Linked DNA regions of Coturnix japonica. The protein of the gene in region 2 purifies or fractionates together with the protein of the main gene of each other region. This does not show direct contact. Links are inferred from orthologs where the notes say so. Each region holds a gene or a part of one and is shown on either strand. Other genes may lie near its edges.

Evidence for each region.
Region 1: the proteins of PPP2R5E (region 2) and PPP2CA purify together in Homo sapiens (affinity purification with mass spectrometry; 8 studies listed by BioGRID and IntAct, with this or other methods). This does not show direct contact. The link is inferred for Coturnix japonica from reciprocal best matches to the Homo sapiens genes PPP2R5E and PPP2CA.

The regions. Positions count from the first base shown.
Region 1 is NC_029528.1:2,278,354-2,289,150, forward strand, and holds the start of PPP2CA (serine/threonine-protein phosphatase 2A catalytic subunit alpha isoform), read right to left. Parts: upstream 5,685-10,797; 5' UTR 5,467-5,684; coding exon 5,365-5,466; intron 1-5,364. UniProt on the Homo sapiens protein: Catalytic subunit of protein phosphatase 2A (PP2A), a serine/threonine phosphatase involved in the regulation of a wide variety of enzymes, signal transduction pathways, and cellular events.
Region 2 is NC_029520.1:48,476,285-48,486,651, forward strand, and holds the start of PPP2R5E (serine/threonine-protein phosphatase 2A 56 kDa regulatory subunit epsilon isoform), read left to right. Parts: upstream 1-527; 5' UTR 528-1,122; intron 1,123-3,819; exon of another isoform or gene 3,820-3,822; 5' UTR 3,823-3,826; coding exon 3,827-3,983; intron 3,984-10,367. UniProt on the Homo sapiens protein: The B regulatory subunit might modulate substrate selectivity and catalytic activity, and might also direct the localization of the catalytic enzyme to a particular subcellular compartment.

The DNA.
Region 1 (10,797 bases), on a different chromosome or scaffold from region 2:
ACCAGAGAGAAAATGAGGACAGGAAGGGGCATCCCCCAAAGAATTCTGTCATCATCATTTCACAATATTCAAGGTATCTTTGTGCCTTAAACTTGGAATTTTAAACACTCTAGGAAAAAAAAAAAAACCTTCAGGAATGTACAAGAAGTCAAATAAATCAGGAAGACCAGATGGGTTCCTCTCTATATTGGAGATCCCAGTAGAAGAGTAACAGTAATAATGCACGAAGCTGACCACTTACAGAGACAATCTTCAACCCTATCCATAGGAGCAAGCTGAATTCATTTTGTACCACTCCAGCAATTAGAAAAAGAAGTAGGTTGAAGCCGTTCCTTTACTAGTGTGTCTGAGAAATGAAGCTAATCTGGCTGGTGGTAAATTCAAAAATTGTTCAAACTTTTTGTTCAAATAACCCCATCCCCAGCTGGGCACAGTGCTGTTAATGCAGTGTGCTATCAGCTGGAAGGCTGGGCAGGAACATGTGTCAAACCAAAGAGATGTACTTCAAAACCAGTGAGCAAGGACTCAACACCTGCACTGGAAGGTATTTCCTATATACCCTGCAGAAATATCCGAGAGTTGCTCAACTGATGACTTGAGCTCTGCTATTTGTTCTTTAGCCAGGGATAAACTACCTGCTTTTTCCACCTTAACGTATTGCCTAAAGAAAGAAGTCTACAGTAACAACTGTGTTATTGAATGCTGGTGTAGTGTTTAAGGGGCCCTAAGTGCAAAGGAAAATGTTATCACTGCTCCTTCCATGCTCTCAGCAGAGCCATGCACAAGGCCTCTGTAACTCATGCCAAAGCCAGACAGGTGAGGTTATTATGCTGTTAGTCATCAGGGTTGCCTTAAACTGAGCACAGCCCGGGAGCAACCACAGAGCAGCACTGTCATCAGATCTTGGGAGGCAGCAGCTTTACCAGAGGTAGATTTGGAAAAGGGACATCAATCTACAGCCTTGTCTGTGTCGTTATCCTTACACTGTACAACCTCAAGTACAAACTTGCTCTGACTTACAAACGCTCACTTCTGTTATTTTAAGCTATGCCCAAAATGACACCGCTGGGATATCTTTCACTCCATCTGATTACAACGAATGCGGTGAGTAAAAACTAATTAAAAGGAAGGAGTACTAACACCAGCACGACTGATTTCACAGAATACTGAAGAGAAAGCTGCTGGTGCTACAAGAAGCAATGTGCATCAGTCAGATTTCTCACACATCACCAAAGCACTGTAATCAGAACTAGGTGACAAGGCTAGCAAGGCTGACACTTCCAATGTGTTCTGTGCAAGGGAACGCTTTCCATTTTATATTAATGCTATCGTAAGAACACGGGGAGTTTCTTTCTTTGTGAAAGCATTCCTCAATAACCTAAAGCAGTTATTAAAATGTCACAAAAACCTTCTCACCTGTAATGCTCCAGAGATTGAAGCATCAACAGCTACACTAGAGGCAGTAACAAAGGAGTCCCCAGTCTTCTGTCCTCCCATAGGCCATAGAAACAAGTGAAGAGGGCCCTCCTGCCACCAGCAGTTTCTTTTCTACTGACTCCATAAGCCAATGTGGCAGCAAACAGGACATGAAACACTGTGCATTCCACACTTGTTCTTCTGTCAGAAGCGCAGGGACAGGCAGCATGTCCTGAACAAAGCCAGTACCAAGGAGACAAAGGAACAGTGCCTCTGAACAAGTGTGGCAGAGATGTCAGGGCAGTAACAGCTTGAAACAGAGCGTGCTTCACAAAACTTGTTCCTCTTGTACTACATGAGAAGTGAACTTTGACCACAGGTTTTTCTTTTGACCCAAAAGCGAGCTGTATCAGTAACACACTGCCCTCCTACAAGCACGGTGCTTAGAGAAAGCTGAAGGAGTTCAAACAGTCCGTACAGCTGTAGCAAGTACACGTTTGGCTTGTTCTCATTGGCAATTAGTCCCAGAAAATCTGAGACCTGGTGTTAAAGGTGGCAGGTAACAGGAGGAAAAAAGCCACCACTGACAAGCAACATACCAGAAATCAGCAGGGCCCAGGAACACTTATATTAGGGAAGTTAGCAATGGTGACAGACAAAATAGCAAGTGAGCTCACAAACTTTGTTACCGATCAAAAGCTACAGAGACAAGGTGTCAATCGAGGCTTCTGGAAAAGGGTTTAGTGATACAAGAACTTCATTCAGTTAAGGCATTTCTAGATGGCAGCACCATCCATGCAGTCAGCAGTAAAACCTCAGGAAACTGGGTGCTGTGTTCAAACCCACTCGGCCCAGCTCTTCCCAGTAAGACATTCCCAGACATCTCCACACAGAGGGAGATACAATCTGTAATAACCAATGGGGATTGCATCCACCAGCTCTGCTCATCCCTGTGTTCCATTCCGGATCGCCAGCCCACCTTTCCTGAGCTGCACATCACAACAGCCCCATCGAGACCATTTCCCACAAAGGATGGGAAAGAACAGCAGCCTTGTTCTAAGTGGGCAGTGGAAAATAACCTCACCTGGCCATAAAGGACTTCCTTTCTCCTGTACACAGACAGCAGACAGCGAACAGTTCAGCCTCAGCAGGACAAATGTGGCCAATATTATAAATGCCATATACTTGAGTAAGGCACATATTTATAACAACTCTTCAAAGCTAACAGTTAAGAAATACTTAAAGCACATAAAACCTGTCACTGGTGTAGCAAAATTAATAGAAAATATTCACATTAAATTCTTCTAATTGTCACTCAGACTTTTTTCAGGTCTGTGAAAGTCGCTATTATTTGTGGCTACAAATTATTCCTGGCTCTAGAAGACATTTCTACCAGGTACCATCACCAAGGTAATAAGGCACAACACAGGATGCACTGAGAGTAACTGCGATGCATGAATGGCCACACTGAGTTACTGTGCTGCACTGCACTGTGTCTGCAAATAGCTGTTGTGTTCTTCTGCTATCAATACTGAAACACAACAGAGCCCTCAGGCTTCGTCTTACTAGACACACACGAAGCCTCAGAAGATCCAGAAATACCAGTCAGAAGATCACCTAATAAACAGCATGTTATGGGGAAAAGCCTTCACAAGAGGGATTACTTTTTTCTATCGTAGCTACAGCTCAGAGCAGTGAGGAATGACAGCTTCTGTCAGATAGGGTCTGCACCCATCATTTGAAACAGTGACTATGTTTGACACCACCCTTAACATCTAAGCTCTCTATGGAAAATCATAACCTTTGGGTGTGATTGCAGACAATAATCAAAACACGAATCATAATTCAGTACTGCAGAGAGCTGGTGCTGGAAGCCTGGGAACAGGATAAATGAGGAACCTCTGCAGACAGGCACAGAATTCAACTAATGCCCTGCTTTGGGAACACAGCAACCCATGGGGGGGACAGGACAATGGAAAGCTTGACACAGCATCTCACCTACCACTAACAGGGGCTGGTAAATCCACCAGTAGTTATCACCCTTAATACAAACAGCCTGGATGTACCTCACAAAGTGTTGACCTCAACCGAGTAATAGAGAGGGAGCTTTATCTCAAGCACAGTGTCATGCTGCCCAAAGACATTCCACCTTTGGTCTGGAGCTGGCTCCAACTTGTGGCAAACCATCCCTGCTGCTCAGTGGTATTCTCACATCAGCCTCTCTCCTGTCCTTGCAGCCTTTCATCTCAATGCAGCAGTCGAACAGGCAGCTTTCTGTAACCTAATTCAACTCCTTCATCCAAACAATTCCTGCAGCTCATCACCTATCATTCCTCCAGCCTCTCCAACAGAGTCTGCTGCTCCTACAGAGCCCACCTGCCTCGTGATTCCTTGCCTTGAACCTATCAGAATCGTTTCAGGTTAGAACAGCTTTTTCTTTCCTAGTGTCATGAATCTATTCTGGTGATGAACATTACACGCTCAGCCAGAAATAGACTAATTCAATTCTTCATTAGGAAAAAATGAAGACACCTCCATCCTCGCACAGATTATGAACAGGACTATGGTGCCTTTTGTGCGGTTTCTATTGGCATGTCTACTGCTCACCTATCCACAGCATCCACTAAATGCAAAGAATTTCATTTATTCCTCGGGTTTTTACAGATTGCCATACAACCACATTAGAAATACCCAGCCAGGATTCAGCCCTTCCATCAGCACATCAGTGATGGCAAATGGGACACGAGGAAAAAGTCAGAGTGCTGGCACTAAAGACACACAAGGGAAACAATCCCTAACCTGCTACTTGCTTGGAACACCACGTTAAACACACAAACTATATCTAACGGCTTTGATTTTGAGTTGCTGGAATATGAGGCGACTGAAATGTGGGACACAACAAGAACCTGTATGGCCAAAAGCACTGCAAGTTAATTCTAAGTCCACATACAACCCTCTGGAAACAATCTGCTTCTAAACCAACACGCTGTACTATTTGAAGGCATGGTGCCAACCTTAAAATACCCCTGTTTCCTCCTGTGATAGGCACGCAGCCTTCTTTAGGACCGAGGGCATCAATAACCTCCATACGCATTGATTTCTAGATCCCTCCCCCAAAAAAGGCAATTCCTTCAATCTAAAGGTGCACACAAATAAAACCTCCAGTAATTGAAGGGAAAATAATGGCTCATGATGGCTGAGGATTTAATTCCGCTCAGAAACAGACTGTAACCGGACAATACAACCGGGTACCACTGCAGCTATTATTCCTTTAATTCCTAGAGCACAGTTGCCGATGTGAAGCCGCTCCTACACTACACACACAGCACATCATTGTGCTGCGCGGATCCCCATCAGTCACCGTAGCAATAAACAGCGACACGAGCTTTATGTCACTAAGCGCCATTTTATTCTGGAAAAAAAAAAAACAAAAAACAAACCCGACTCCCCAGGTCGATCTAAAATTCCGCTTCAATTAGAAATAACCGCGATCCTATATTTGTATGGTAAATGAATAACTGAATAATCCGCCGTGCTCACAGCAGCTCGGAGCCCCGCACCGCGCCCTACGCTCCCTGCCCTACACGGCCTCCCCGTGTCACCGCACAGCACCGCACGGATGGCGGAGCGGCAGGGCCGGGCCCGGCGGCGGCTCTCGTGCTCTGTGGCGGCGGCTCCCGGCAGCGGCGCCATTTTAGGAGGCGATGAAAAGGCGGGAGGCGGGGCCAGGCCGCGGCAATGCCCGCCGAGGGGCCGCGGCTCATCCAGCGCCGGGCAGAGCGAGCAGCGCCCAGCGGAGCCCAACAGAGCGACCCACCGAGCCGATGTGTGGAGCCGACCCACTGCCCGGCACCGCTCCGATCCGTCCTGCTCACAGCCCCGTGTGCCCAACCCCGGAGGTGCCGCCCCGCCCCGTGCCGCCGCTCCGCTCCCCACGCCGCGCCTCACCTTCTCGCACAGGCTCTTCACCTGCCCCTCGGACAGCTGCTTGCACTCGTTGAGCTGCTCCACCCACTGGTCCAGCTCCTTGGTGAACACCTTCTCCTCCATCCCGCACGCAGCCGCTCGCTCGCCCCCTCCTCCTCCGCCTCCTCCTCCCCCTCACCACCAGCTGCCGCCGCTCCCCCCAAAGGCCCCAACGACGCGATCCCGGTGGTCGCGGCTCAGCAGCGGGTCGTGGAGCTGCGGGCGGAGCGGCGCCCAACGCACGGCAGCGAACAGAGCGCTCCGACCCTCGCTCTGCCCGTGTAATGGCCGCCGCTGCTGACGTCACGGCCCCACTACACTGCGGGGAGGGGACGGCGCCGCCATGGGAGGGGACGGCGCGTGCGCAGTAGGCTGGACGGACCGCGCATGCGCGACATGGGCGGGACCTGCCCGACCGGAGAGACGGAGCTCTATGCTGCGCATGCGCGGCGCATGCTGGCTGGGGGGAGCGGGGCTTGCGCGCTGTGAGGGGCTTCGTGCGCATGCGCGGGAGGAGCTGCGGGTCATGAGCTTTTCCCGCCCGTGCAGGGCGCGGCTGTGGGCGGGTCTGAGGGAGAGCGGTGGGGAAATAGGGGGTAGCGCTGTACAGTGTGTGGGGTACGGCTTCATGGGTGTGTGGGGGAGCGGGGTGTGACACTGAGGGCGCAGTGCTGAAGGACGCTACTTTGCAACGCTGGAGGCCTTGGGTTCGAATCCCCCTGTGGCGCAAGTGGTAGCAGTGCCGCTCTGCAGCACAGAGGCTCCAATCCCGGGGTTGGACTCGGTGATCTCTAAGGTCCCTGCCAACCCGCACCGCACTGTGACACTGTGACGCTGTGCGGTGTGTGTAACGTGTATTGCAGTGGTCTTCATCCTAAATGACGGGGCTGCCGGTGTGGCATTTCCTTACAGTAACTTATCAAGCGTGTGAAATATCAGTTAAAAGAACAACAAAATCAATAAAGTGGGTCAGAATTTGGCCCAATGTGCCCTTTTGGAATTAGCCACTTACCAAAGGCTTCCTGCTTAATAGGAGTCACTTGTCTCCAGCCGGGTTTGCCTTGCAGTGAGTGGAAAGGGTTAAATTCTTTGCTTGCTATTGAGGCAAAGAAACAAAATAGTGAGCAAAGGGGAAGGAATGTTTGCTGTAACCAGTCGGTCTCGGTTCCTCCATGTCATGCTCTCTCTATAAGATGTGCATTTTTTTGGCATGCCTTTCTTCAGGGGCTCTATTTTGCATCCTCAGATGCCTCTGGTTTTGTATTTTAAAGCTGTAAAAGGAGAGGTGTTATCTGTTGAAAAATGGCAAGAATCTGCTCTGTGGCACTGCTTCATTGCCTCCCAAATAATCCTGAACAAGCAACTGGAAAGAACATAAGGCAATAATCCTCTCTTATTTAACTAGCCAAGTTAAAGACCGTATTTAGCTTTTGTTTTCATAGAGATAGAGGAATTCCTGGTGAAACTCAGGTTCTGAATTCTTTCTGATTTTTTCTTTTTTAAATTTCTTAAATTAAAGCTTCAGTAGCAGGAAAATCTTAACTTGCTTATGAAACTGCAACCAAAGTCCTGTGACGTATTATCTGATATGTGCAGAGAAAACACGTGTAATGTGCACTAGGCAGTGCTCCATGCGGATTGCAATAGTGATTGCTGCTGTCTTTAAAGCAATTGTGGTGGCTCCCAAACCTGCCATAGGTTAATGGGAGCCTGGTGTTAGGGTTACTCTGCTATGGAAAGGTTCCTTGTTTGAAAAGGCAGTCATAGCTCTTAGCTATCAACTCAGCATCATGAGGTAGGGGATTCATCGTTCCTTGCTCGCAGTTGAAGCTGTGCCGTTGACTAGAAGAGAACTGAGGACTTGGCACAGCAGTATTTTGGATCCAGTTATTCAGGTGCTCACATAGAAGGGAGACAATTGGAGTTCCATCTAAAACAACCTGCTCTATTCTTTATCCCTGTGTTGTCTCAGCCCATAAACTGCGTTCGGATCAGATGTCAGATCTCTTCCTCCTTCTTGAGAGTCATAATCAATATCTCAGTGAATTGTGGTTGCTTCTCTCCCAGATAGTTATCAGAACCTTCAAAGGAGAGGGAAATAATGAAAGAATACCTGCCACATTGCATCAGCTGGGGGTTTGGCAGTCCCTCAGGTACATGGCAAGGTAGGAACAATACTTAGTATTGACTATTTGTGCCAGGCTGCTGTGTGTGTATGTGTGTGGTTTGTAGCTAAGGAGATGTCCTGGGTGTGGGTGCTGTGATGAGTCAAGGGTTGTCCGTGCTGCCATGTGCAGTCCTGGCTCTTGAGTCACTGCCGAGCGTCTCATGTTGATGGCATTTCTTAGGAAGGGTTACTGCCAAAGCTGTGCTCACACACATCACATGGATGGAGTGTTCAGCTGGTTCTGTTTTCCTTACAAAACCATCTACAGTAGTGCAGACTAGTACGAATCTCCAATCCATTCACATGCATGTTAGCAATTGCAACTGTTTTGTCACTTACTGCAGTAACACCAGCGTTTCCTTCACAGTATAAGACATCAGTGTTTAAACTATGCAGGTTTATATTGCGAGGCATCATACAACAAAGTGAACACAGTTTTGATTGGCCATTACAGTCTACATGCACTCTATGTGAATATTTTACTAGATCCGAGTTATCTGCCAGTGCGTATCTGAAGAGTCTGTTGCTATGGTGTTCAGTGCTAAGTGCAGAGCTGGAATACTATGCTGTGTTATCTAAAGGTGCTATCTCAGAATTATAATCCAGGGTTAACTTCTTGGGTTAATGTGTGAGTTAATATTAATGTGGGTTTTTTGTCAGCAATGAGTGCAGAAGTTGATGTTTCACTGTAGATGTCATCTGCCTCTGGGGGCAAATGGGCTTTCCTGATCAAATTAGGCCAAAAATACATGTTTTGTGTTGAGACATCAGCCTCTTCCTGCAACAAAATACAGTGTGTTCTTTGTCTCATTGGTCCCCTTCGGTTAGATAAGCTTTGTGATTCTTAGCAGAATGATTGCAAAAGATGGGAGCTAGACAGAAAGCTATTTGTGTCGGATATTTGGTACGTCAGCATGAGCAAATGGAACTTCTTTCTGTTTGACTCACTCCAGAGTCCACGCAGTATGTCAGCGATTTTATCATGCACTGATTCCACCCGTAAATGGCTTCTGTGAAGCGCAATGATCAATAAATACAGATACTTCATAGTCAAATGACCCAGGGAAAAGTTGTTCTGAAAACACTGCACATCACTGTAAGGTGTTAAAATCTTTAGGGCACTTTGCAGGTGCTGCCATGCCAGGACAGACCTTTAGCTATTGTTGCCAGACAGACAAAGACATGATTTCAGCCCCACTGAGGGGCTAGTAGTTAACATGACAGAAGCATTTAGAGTCAAGTTCAGTGGAGACTTGGGGGCATGCTTAAATTCCTTCCTTTTAAACCAATACTGTAAACATCCATGAAGTGCTCTGCTAAGTTTCTGCCATAGGACTCGAGGCTTTCTGGTGCTCCTGTCATGCTCAGATCAGCACAACTCACATCACAAGGGTTTTGTTTGGGAAAGCTTTCCTTTTCTTGAGCCTTTTGATTCAATAAACTATGTTTAATCACTCAGAAACACAATGCATAATTAATACATGCAATCAGTTGTCATGGAGATGTAAATCAAGGTTTTTATTGTCTTATCTTTGCTTCTTGTGCCGGGATACCATGGAGTAACCACTATCTCTGCCTTCTAAATGATTTGCTTTGGGAATCCAAAAAATGCAGGACTTGTAAGAGGTGCTTGTGTTGTTTTTTTTTCCCAAGTTGCAACATCATGGCAGAGGATTGCTCCGCTTGTTTCTGTGAGATCTCTCACACAATGTGACAACTGAATTACGGCTAAAGCCTCTGCAGGATGTGTTTAGTCTCCTCATGTTAGTACACAGACTCAAGGGAAAATGTGGAAACTAATCCAAAAGAAGGCAGCTGGCTTACATGGCTCAGGAACCTTCGGGTTGATTATGAGGACTGGGTGTTTTAGTTAGTTTTGTTGTTTGTTTGTTTTTTTAATGAGGCTACAATTCTATTCAATGCCCATAAATCCAGAGAACTGAGTTCCCTACCTGCAGATCTAAGAATGTTAAACTTGGACTCTCTGACATATTTTACCTGTGCCTGACTGTGCCCTTGTGAAGTGCTGTGATAATGGGGAAGAAGCACACAGTGCAGCTCAGCCAACAGAAAGGACTCTTACCTTTATCCTGTGATGCTTTTTCTTGTCCTGGATTTCCAGTTACACTTAAGACAGGCAACACCTACCCAGTGTAGTCATTCTGTAGCCTATTTATTTGAGTGAATGAGGGAGATTCTCTGCATTATAGCCAATGCTTTTTCTCTTTCTTTCTTCTCTCAGGTTATTTCTCTCTAGTTAGTGCTACATTACAGTGATTGTCCTATTGACCTTCATCTGGCTCAAGCAACTGGAGAATTCAGCTATAACAAGTGCAAAAAGGATTGGAGCAAGGAAATGTGAGCTATTCCTCCCCCTCTTTCCTGCCAGGTAAATGTATGTTTTCTTTGTAGCACCGTCAGTGTGTTGAAGCACAGGAAGCATGAACCCAATTGGGGAGGTTTGTACCCATGACTTTTAGAAGCACATTAATACTATACCAGTGTTGTTTTGAAGATACCACAGATGTCTTGCATGACAAAGCAGGTACACACAATCTGCTACAGGTGCCGTGCTAAACTATTGCCTTGCCACTCAGCTCAGCGTCACTTCTCAGCAGAGCAGTGTCCTGGCTGCTGCTTTAAATACTTGCTTTGAATAGAGAGACAGAGGAGGGAAAAATTTCTTTTGAAATCTATTTGTGTATGTGCTAAAGGACAAGGGAGAACTGTGTTATATTCACTGCATAGGAACATTTATTCTTAGACCCTGATATTGTTTCACTGGGGTTAACAAGTGTATTATTAGTGATCACTAGTTACAAATAATAACCTGACCTTATTTTTAACCTAATACTGAATCAGATTTCATTGTGATAGACTCGCTGCTGTGCTTCAATCTTTGAATATTATCATTAAGAATTTCAGTGCCTTCCATTTTAGATGTTAAAAATAGGCGGCAAGTTGGATAATAATTATCATTCTGAATCTCGTTGCAGTCTTACGTAACTGTGTTCTCACCAAAAGCCTTATTTTAACGGTTGGGTTGAAGAACATACTACAGTAACCTGAAATTATTTGCACTACTGTAGCTCAGTTATGCAAAGCCTGGATAGAATACATATTTTTTCAAAGAAAGTTAGAGAACCAGTTTAATATTCATGAAAACAAAGGTGCACAGACTGACTCAGGTCTGGCATTGTAAAATCATGTGTTGTCAGCACCTCTCAGTCTTTAGCATAAGCATTCTT
Region 2 (10,367 bases):
GCCCCAGCCATGGTGCTGGATGCTATATCTGTAAATACACCTTGGGAAAGGTGATAAGAGAGAGAGAGAGCCGGCCTGGCTGGAGAACCCGTGTGGGGCACCCAGAGAGCACGGCAGGCGCTGAGGGCACGGACCTGGACGCTGTGGTGGGGCCGACCCGCCCGCAGCCCGCCCCGTGAAGGGGCTCCGAACCCCATACAGGGCCCAGTGAGACGTTTCGCCTCAGGATTACGTGGTTTTTCCTCAGGAATATGAGCTTTTACCTCAGCAATAGGATGGTTTACCTCGCGGATTTCAGGGCTTTTACCTCAGCCGATGTGTCTCGCTCCCGCTCTGCCCGCGGATGGCCAAGCAGATCCGCCTCCATAGCGCTCAGCTGCCGCTGCTCCAGCCGCCACCAGCCGCTCCTCCTCCGGCCGCTCTCCTCTTCCTTTCCCGGCTGTCCCGGCGGCAGCGGCGGGCGCCAATGAGGCGGCGCGTCCCGGCGGCGGCGCTGGGGTGGGCGGGAGCGGAGGGGCGGGCAGCGGGCGGGGGGCGGTGGCAGCACGCTCGGTTGTGAGTGAGCGAGGGAGGGAGTGTATGTGTGTGTGTGTGAGTGCGTGTGTGCGAGCGAGTGCCATGGCCGGAGCCCGCTGAGAGTGACAATAGGAGCGAGCCGGAGCGCGACCCCGACACCCACCGGGATCCCGTCTCTCACCTGAGGCAGCCTCGAGCAGAAGAGCCCTTCCCTCCCTTCTCGGCGCCGCCCGCACCGCGCCCGCCGCTCCCCCTCGCCTCGACTCGGCTCGGCTCCCCCCCGCTTCCCCCCCCTCCGCCCCCCCCCTCCTCCCCTCCGCCGCCTCCTCAGGGCCCCTCCGCAGGGCTCCGCCGGGAATGTGAGTGAGGCAGCGGGCATCGCAGGCAGGGGGCCGCGCCGAGTGCATGGGACTGAGCGCAGCCCGAGCAGCCGCCCGCTCCTGAAGCCGCCGCCAACGCCGCCCTGCGCCGGGGAGGCCGCCAACGCCGCCGAGGCCTACAGGCTGCTGCGTACCGCGCTCCAGGCATCGGCCGCGCTCCGCCGAGCCCGGCTCAGGCCGTCGCCGCCTCCCCCCCGTCTTCGGCTTCTCAACCAGGAGGGTCAAGGTAACTCCATCGCGGCTCGAGGAGGAGGAGGAGGAGGCCCCGGGGTGGAGGGGAAGGGGGGGGGGCGGTGAGAGTGCTGCGGGAGGACATGTTCCAGCTGCGGGGCTCCCGCCGGATAATGACAGCCGATGGCAGCGGGCGGGAGGCGGCGGATGGCGGCGTGGCGGCCCAGGGCCCTCCCGGTTCGCTCCGTCGCTATTTTCACGTCCCCCCGCCTCGCCGCCCTCCCCACCCCCCCCTCAATGTGGGGTGCGTGGCTTCGCCTTCCTCCCTGTGCTCCATTCTGCGAGAATACGACCCTTCATTGGGAGAAACAGCTTTTAAGCTCCTCAGCTTTCCTACACCCAATAATCTATTATTATTATTATTATTATTATTATTATTATTATTATTATTTATTTTCCTCCCCCCCACCCGGTTGGAATCGTGTGTTTCGCCCTTACAGCGCGTTCAGGCTCATTCGAAAGGATGAAAAAAAAAAAAATAAAAATAAATAGGGATCGGTGTTTACCACGGGGTTGTCAGGCTGGATGCAGCCTTGTGGAATTAGAACGAGGCTTTAATAATTTATAACGCAGGTGAGGGGAAAATGTTACTAAATTTACAGCTGGAGGAGAGGTGCCGGTGAGATCCTGCAGCTGGGCCATCCGCTGTGCTGGCTGCCCGTTGTTATTAGCGTTGTTATTATTTTGGTGATTTCATCTTGAGGGAGAGTGCAGAGATGGTTACACTTCAGCCGCACACGTGACGGGCAGAGGAATCTTTTTTGGATGAGATGAAACAAGGCCAACGGATCCGGCTTTTAGCTGTGTATTTCTGCTGCTATTTCCCCTAATTTGGGTTTATGTAACAGGTAACTTTGCGCTTATATATATTTTTGGCGGAGCTTTGGAACCTTAGAAGCGGGTGCTGGAGCGCAGGCCGTTCTATTTCAGTTTTTCAGACTTTTTTATGTATTAATCTCAGCTGGGGCCTGGATGCTCCACTGATGGGGGCATTTCTTTCCCCCTGGATAGCAAATAAACCCGGTGTAAAGGGATTGTATCACGTTGCCGACAGCGTCTTATATTTAGGAAGTATAAGCTGGTGGTGGAGGGGACCTCAGGAAAAATAGAAGAGATGGTGTAATGCTTTCTTCTGACGGTAATGCCAGCTGCACAGCTCAGCATCTGGTGCTGCACATGCCGCCTTGGAGAAGCTGTGGGGTTTGTACTTCCATTTCTGAGAGGTTTAGTGAGCATATATATATATAATTTCGCATTGAACGGTTCTTTTCTTCCTGCACTTGTTTACAGTTGCCTTAAATTGTACTTTCTAAAGCTCCTCTTGTAAAAGGCAGATCTAAATAATGTCTCTTTCAATGGCTTCAATAATTTATGCAGCGTATGAGTAACCAAATATTTTAATAAAATAAGCACTTGAAAGTGTTCTCCATGGTGGGGAATCAACTTCTTTTAGCCGGCGAGTCACTTCGGTAATTGAAGTCAACAGACATTGAGGATGAGTAATGCTTTCCAAGGACATGTTCTAAGACCCTGATCCTGCAAGTGCTTATGCCGATACTTAACTTTGCACGAGTGTGTGGCCCTATTGAAACTGGCGGAGTGCTCTGCCTAATAATGGTCTTACTGACATGAATAATAGAGGTGCGCATGCTGGTGAAGTTCACTGTATGCAGCGCTGCTTGAAATATGGAGGCCGAAATTCCTCCTGTCTTGTTTTCCTGAAGTATTACTCATGTATTGCACCAAGATGTGATGTGCCTTTTTAACAGGCAACACAGGCTGCTAAATACAAGAGCTGGTTGCAGGAATCCACTCTTTAAATCTTCCTTTTAATATTTTTCAATAGTATGGAATTAGCTACAGCAGCATTACCAGGGCATGTGTTATAGGAAGAGGCAATGCTTATTTCTCAGACCAGCTGATAGAGTTGGGAAACAAACAAACTTTGGCTTGCAGAAACCTTGTTTGGCTCTTTGCCTCTCTGCAAACCTCGTCTGGCTTGTGCCCTTAGAACTATTATGGCTGCCATCCTGCTCTTATTGCTAAAATACCAGAACATGGAATAACTGTGTGTTGAGAGACTCCATACAAAAACAGAATGTCTGAAATGGAGAGTAAAGGAGCAGTATGTGAAATTTCATCAGTTCTAGTGAAATAGTGAAGCACGGCAGTACTTTTAGTGGTACTTTTTAATATTGCTATTAGGTCTTGTATGTAGGTATGGTAAATATACTGATCTTTTTCTTCTGTCCCATGCACTTTGATGACTCTCTAGTGAAAAAGATGTTCATGCCTTCTTGAGTACCCATCATTTAGCTTGTATAATGCCTTCCAGCATGAGTTCAAGTTACTTTTCTCATGTAACACGTAGTCAAGGCTTCAGCCCTTAGTCAAGTCCACAGGTATATGAAGTTCTGCTGACATAATGGTGTCATCATTAGGTCAGAATTTTTCCTGTTGTAGGGTTTTTGGTAAATGTGGGGCAGATAAAACAAGGGAGAGAGAAGAAATTGCACTATTTATTCTATAAGACCTGCATGTGTATTGGTGGGTTATCTCTCCGAATGCTCTATCTGGGTGAGCTGTCAGAAGGAGAACAGTGAAGACAGATCAAGGGGGTTGGAAAATATCAGTTAATCTTTACCCATTTCACCAGTTTTGGAATGTATTTGTAACACTTGTTTTCCTTCAGTAGGGATATGTCCTCAGCACCAACAACTCCTCCATCAGTGGATAAAGTAGACGGATTTTCTCGGAAGTCCGTCAGAAAAGCCAGACAGAAGAGGTCACAAAGCTCCTCCCAGTTTAGGTCTCAGGGCAAGCCTATCGAGTTAACTCCCCTGCCTCTGCTGAAAGGTAAGCTCAGGAATGATTTTTAATTAAAAATACCTAAATACCGTAAGTCAAAACAGTTTTACTCTCCGGTTGACTTCTAAACTCAAAGTGTTCTGTTGCCAGAGGTTGCATGGAGATTTTGCCAGTAATGAGGAATGTTTCATGCCAGAAATGTATGTATTTGAGCTCTACAGAATATTTTATCTGTGACATGAGGGTGTGGTAATTGTTTGCAATACTTCTGGAAGTTTTAAATGCTGATGTTAACCCATATGATGACTTGAATTTTCAAGGCACTCAGGCTGTGTGTGAGGATTTTAGATTGTGAATACTCAGCAGATACATGAACTGAGCAGTAGGTATGGTGAGGCCAAGCTGCCTTGTGAGCATGGGGAAACCTGCACGCAGCCCCTGGCTTCTGTGGGGTTTTGGAATTGAAGGGTGCCATGCATTGCAGCATCTCGAGAGGAAAGATCAGGTCTTAGGCAAGACATTACTGTGAGGACAGCCTGCATATCCCTGCTCCAGTTGAGTTGCTGCGGGAAAATTTAACTTCTAATTTGGGAAAGGAAATGATGATCCAGCTTACAGCTCTTAAAAGGCTGACAGTATCTCTCTAATATCTCGAATGCTTGCTCTAAATCCTGTTTGGCACTGAATTTCAGTACAAATCCAGGGGCCAGCAGCTTCTCTCAGAATTACGTTTGGTGTGGCAGAAGGAATCACCTTCTAGAAGTGTTTCCTTTCACTGAGTTCTTACTGAGTTTTGGGGGTTTTTTTCATCGCCATTCTTCTTTTCTGTTACAACGAATGGAGCTAAGCACAATTTGTGCTGATTATTCTGGAAAATAGAAAGATGAATAGGTTTAATATTAGGCCTGTTCATTTTTGCTTTGTGGGCATGTAGATTTCCCAGATCTCTTCCTCTACTCGTTTGATAAATCTGGTAATCAGTACTGAAATATGTAATGAATGTGTAATTGCACTTTGCTTTGGTTCGTAACCTCACTTCTTCATAAAAAACAGACAAGTTGCAAAAAGAAAAAAGAAAATAATCACACAGCTTACATGTATCTCTTAAATTAAATTAAACTTGGATTGTAGGATTTGTTCTGCTGGAGTTGTCATTAAAATAGTTGAGACTTCTTTCTATGGAATGCATGTGAGTATGTACAAATAAACGTACTTGCTCAAAAGAAAGGTCCAAAGGACCATCTAACCCTGCTGTATTAAGCTGGCAAGGGCTGATTTGGAAGCATAGAGGAGACTGGAAGAGCAAGATGGGCCTGGAGTGCTTCCACTACTCACCATTTTTCAGTGTGTGTGTCAGTGGATTTGGTGTTCTGGTTTGTAGTGAATTTTCTTCTATGAACTTTTCTAGTTGTTTAGTGAAAGTAAGATGAAGAAGCAAATGCTCCTTTAAAGTCATTTAAAATCCCATTTGTCTATTTTTGCAGTTCATTTTTGAGATGCAGATCATTTCCCTTAAAAATACAACTTGTTACATTTCGGTAAATAGAGTTTGTCCTTTGGCTTAAGTGGCTTCATTACCAAAGAACACTTAGGTTTGTATTTGAATAAATGTTTAAATGATTCGGTTATATTGCATAGTCCTGTTCAGGGAACATGGTAGGTGTGTGCACAGACAGAAGAAAAATGTTGGCTTTGCCTGAGGACGTGGTCTTGCAGAAACACAGGTGTTTATTTTGACTGCTGTAGCTAGTCCTGTGGATTGAGATATAAAGCTATAATAAGATAAAACAGATGGGGCACAGAGAGCGTTGCTGAGATATTTATGATTAGTGTCATAATGAGTTACAGTGGTCCAGCTTCAAATTAAGAATCTGATCCTGCGAGTTGGTCTTCCCCCTTTGACTTAATGCGGATTCCCGTAGGCACAGGGCTGTGTACAGATCATTTTGCAGGATTTGGGCCTAATGATGCATCTGAAACAGCAGCGGTATTGATCGCTACTGAAGGGACACCAACAGTTAAAAATTGTGCTGCTATTTAGAATTATTCTTGATCTACTTTGATGATTGTAACAATTAGGATTATTTAACCTGAAAGAAGTGATATTTCATCTGCATTTTTCATGCTTTTCCTGGGCAGTTGTCTGAAAGTCCTAATCTTTAAACTTTTAGGCTTTCACTTACCCTCCAACAAGCAACTAGTCCTATTACTTTATACAGTAACCACGTGATTTCCTATTTTATTCTTATTATATGAATAACGAGATCAGTTTGGAGATCTCCAGTTGCTAAGTGTACTTCTTGTTTTGGGTAAGTTTCAAGTTTCATTAAACCTGTTTAAAAATATTTCAGGACAGGAAATTTTTAGAGGACAGACCTTGAATTTGACCTTAAACATTTTATATTTGTGATGGAAGAGTTTTGCAGACAAAACCACACATGCCATGCTCTTCTCTTCCACTCCCCTCTCCTGCTCCCCTCGAACTACATCTCATGTTGATAGTTGCAGCCTATATTTTCTCCCAGAGGAGCAGCTGTGTGGACTTCAGCACCTTCTTTCATTACAAGAATAAAGTATGCAGCAAACTAGATAAATGCTTTGTCCATTCTTTGCAAGTTTTTGTAGTGTGCCTGTCAGCATAATGATTTGAGCACCTTCCAGTTGTGTATTAAGTGACGTGACTACGCATCTGTCACATCTTATCTGCTCTCATTCCTTTCCCCAGGGGCAGAGTCACATACAGCGAAATGGCTTGTTTTGGTAGTGTTTTAATGCAGTCTGTTCCTTTCTGTGGACATACATGCCTGTATTGCAAGAACAGATAAGTCGGGACTGTAGTTTATTTGATAATAATGTTTCAGGAAACAGAAATAGGAGACAGAATGTGTTTCAGTGTTATGTACAAGGCTGAATGATAACTTGCCATTTAGGAAATGCAGTGAGAGGAACTGGAGTTTTCATTGGAGCTTATGCTACTTATAGGGGAATGAGGTTGTTACTGTGTGCTTTATTTTTAATTAACGTATGTGTGTGTATTGTTTAGCTCTTTGTGAACAAACATTTAATGTATTTATGAGATGCAGGAGCCTTCTGAGGCCCTATTGGGCTGAATTAAAACTCTCCAATGCCCCAAGCCAAAAAAAACCACTCCTCATGCAGTGAAGACTTTTGTGTCCTCTGTTCTTCTGCGGTCTGATTTTCTGATAATTTAATTGTTGTTATTTACTGTGCTTTGTCTAAATGGGAGGGTTAGGTTGGATATTAGGAGCAAGTTTTTCATACTGAGGGTGGTGACACACTGGAACAGGTTGCCCAAGGAGGCTGTGGATGCCCCATCCCTGCAGGATTCAAGGCCAGGCTGGATGTGGCTCTGGGCAGCCTGGGCTGCTGGTTGGTGACCCTGCACACAGCAGGGGGTTGGAACTGTGTGATCATTGTGGTCCTTTTCAACCCAAGCCATTCTATGATTCTGTGATAATTTGGAGTTGTTCAATAATGTGACTAATGTTGAATCTCATGTTTCAAAAGCAGTCTGTCCTCCTTTGTTTCAAGCAGGATGGTACAAGAATTGCAAAGAGAAGCTATGGTACAGTTGGCCTGCGTTTTCAATATATGTACTTGTAAAAAGGTTTAAATCTCACATGCACTTTAGTACTTGCATGTTCTTTTCTGGTATGTCCTGCCCTGTGTTACAAAACTTTCCATTTTGCCTTAACTTTTAGGGAGGCTCTTGGTATCGGTAGGGTTGGCAGGTCCCTGAGGTAGCTGGTTTGTGGCAGCCCTGGTGAAGAGCCCTTATCTTGGGATGACAACATTCACCTCTGTGCCTTAGGCACATCCATGCAGAGTTTATTAACCAAGTCTGTGGCATGCCTCAAAGCATGTCTCTGTGTCAAAAGGTTGTATTGTATATTGTATGTGCATTGGAAAGGGGTGGTACTTACCGAGGCTTCTTTTACTTTCATTTTCAGTAGATACTCTTAACTTACAAGTCTTTGGAGGAAGATCAGTAGGGATACAACGCTGGTAGGAAAAAATAAATCCTGTATTGTAATACTGAGCACATGCAAACAGACCAATTTCATTATTAGCTCTAAAAACAGAGAGTCCATTTCTGTTTCTGGCATTATCTGTCATGTTAGGGGACTGCCCAGAGCATGAAGACATGCATGCAGGTGACTGCGAAGATCATATAGATTACATATATATACATATATACATACATACATATAACATATATATACACACACACATATATATACATATATATGTTGAACAGAATCGGGCAGAAAACTAGCATGTGATTCACAATATTCTTCACATCCTCCTAATCCTCATTAAAAATGCATAATAAGGTAAAGCAAACCGTACAAAAGAAAGACTGTTAAATATTAAAGCAATAGGTCCCATTTTTATCATTTCAAGGGGCTCCTCTTGTTTCCTGTCATTCCCCCACATTTTCCAGTATTCTAATGCTGTGTAGTGACTTTCAGGTTTATTTTTATTGCAAACAGGCCTCAGCTCAAACTATAATTTTTTATTTTAGGCAATTTTTCTCTCTTAAAAGAGTCGCTCAGAAGAGAAGTTCTCTGTCAACAATACCAATTGCTTCGCTACCTCAATATTATGAAATTTATTGAGCTTCTTATACATTTATCAGATAGTTTCCATGGCATTAAAGAATTGCTGTAGTGGCAACAAAAGAGAGCTGCATAGTCAGTTAGGGAAAATCTTTCACTTGCTGTTTGCTTTTGATCATTATTATATTATTTCCCTATAGGTGTGATTTTATTATAGGCTTTTCTTATGAATCCTATCTGTAGGCCCAGTGCTGAACTTCCTAAATAGTCAGAGATCCTTCCAACTCTAGAAGACTTTTGGTTAAGTGAGAACTGCAAGATGTGTACCCTCCTTCTCAAATAGATTTGATAAAGAAATCCTCTTTATCAGGCATTAAAAATATTTAAGTCTAAAGAAATGGCCATATGGAAAATGGTAGTTACTGTCTGAGTTGTAGAGGAGGAAAGCTTCTATTTTCTGTTGATTTGCATGAGAGTTGGCTGCTCATCGTTTCTATACCAGTCTCCCTTTATGAAATTTGGAATGCTTTACAAATATCAATTAACTATTAATAAAATATCTAAAGTTAATACTTTATCCTAATTTACAAACAAGAATAGAGGATCATAATGGCTGTGACTTGCAAAATCAAATTTTGCTCCATTTCCATAAGCGGAAATAAATCCTCATTTATTGTCTGAAAGAGACGTTGGCACATGGTCTGCTCTGCACATAATGGTGAATCAAACATCAGTCCTGGAGCTTCTGAACAGAATTTTGCACTTGTTCTGACTGAAATAAGTTCAGACACAGCAGGCTCTACTCCCTGTAAGGTTTGGGAAAGGGGCCACAGTTCCAAAAGGAAGTAGGATTTATCCCTACTTTCGGCCTTATGATATGTGGAGTTCCTGTCATACACAGTTAAACTCTTCACCTTTTCTTGTGCTCTTGGCAGTTGTTTTTTGGTTATGTATTTAATGTCCTCTTCAGTGTTGTAAACATCTGGTGGTTGTAGCGTAGGACAGTTTCTTCCAGTGATCTTAAACGTTTCTGGTTGTTCTAAAATCTGTTTGGCAATTACATTCCGCTTTGTGGAAGTTTCTCTGCAGGCTGTTTTCTCTTGTGTCCACAATGTGTATCTGTGGAAAATGCACGGAAAATGTGTATCTGTGGAAATGTTGCCTTGCAAGTCAACGTCTCAGTAAAACAAAACAAACCTTTGTACGCTGACGGTATATCAGTGAAAGTGCAGCTGGTGAGAAATCCTGTTGGCTTAGCCTTTATATTCTAATAATCTGTGTTTCCATTCAGCTGTCTTTATTTATGTGTTCCTAGGTTTAATTAGATCGGAAGATTTTTCCTTTAGCCCATGTTTCCCTTGCCCAGACCTTCAGTAGCAGTTCTCTTCCTTCCTGAATTTCTCACTCTGCTTTGTGGAAATGTTAAGGAATGATTGTTCCCACTTTTTAATTGCCTTTAAAACCGAAGCGACTTGCAATGACTGTAGGAGATATTTTTGTACTCTTCACCAGATTGAGTCTAAAATCTTGATGATGATTTTCAGGAATGTCTGGACTTCACCATCATCAGAAGCAATTGTTTTCAGTCTGTGTTTGTACGCCATGTCTCTGTAATGCGCTTCTCAGTATTATTTATTTCTCTAATAATATTAAAGTGTTCTGTGTCCAGGTGAATCTCTATGATGAGTCTGTAATGAAACCTCCTGTTTCTATAATGAGTACCTCCTTTATATTCCTTTCTCCTAAAGTATTTTTAACAAATGCAGTTTCTGGTTTAGCCACACGATTATTTCTATGCTAGTTGGAAGTGCAGTGCTGCCTTCATTTATTACAGATAATGATATGGAGCTTT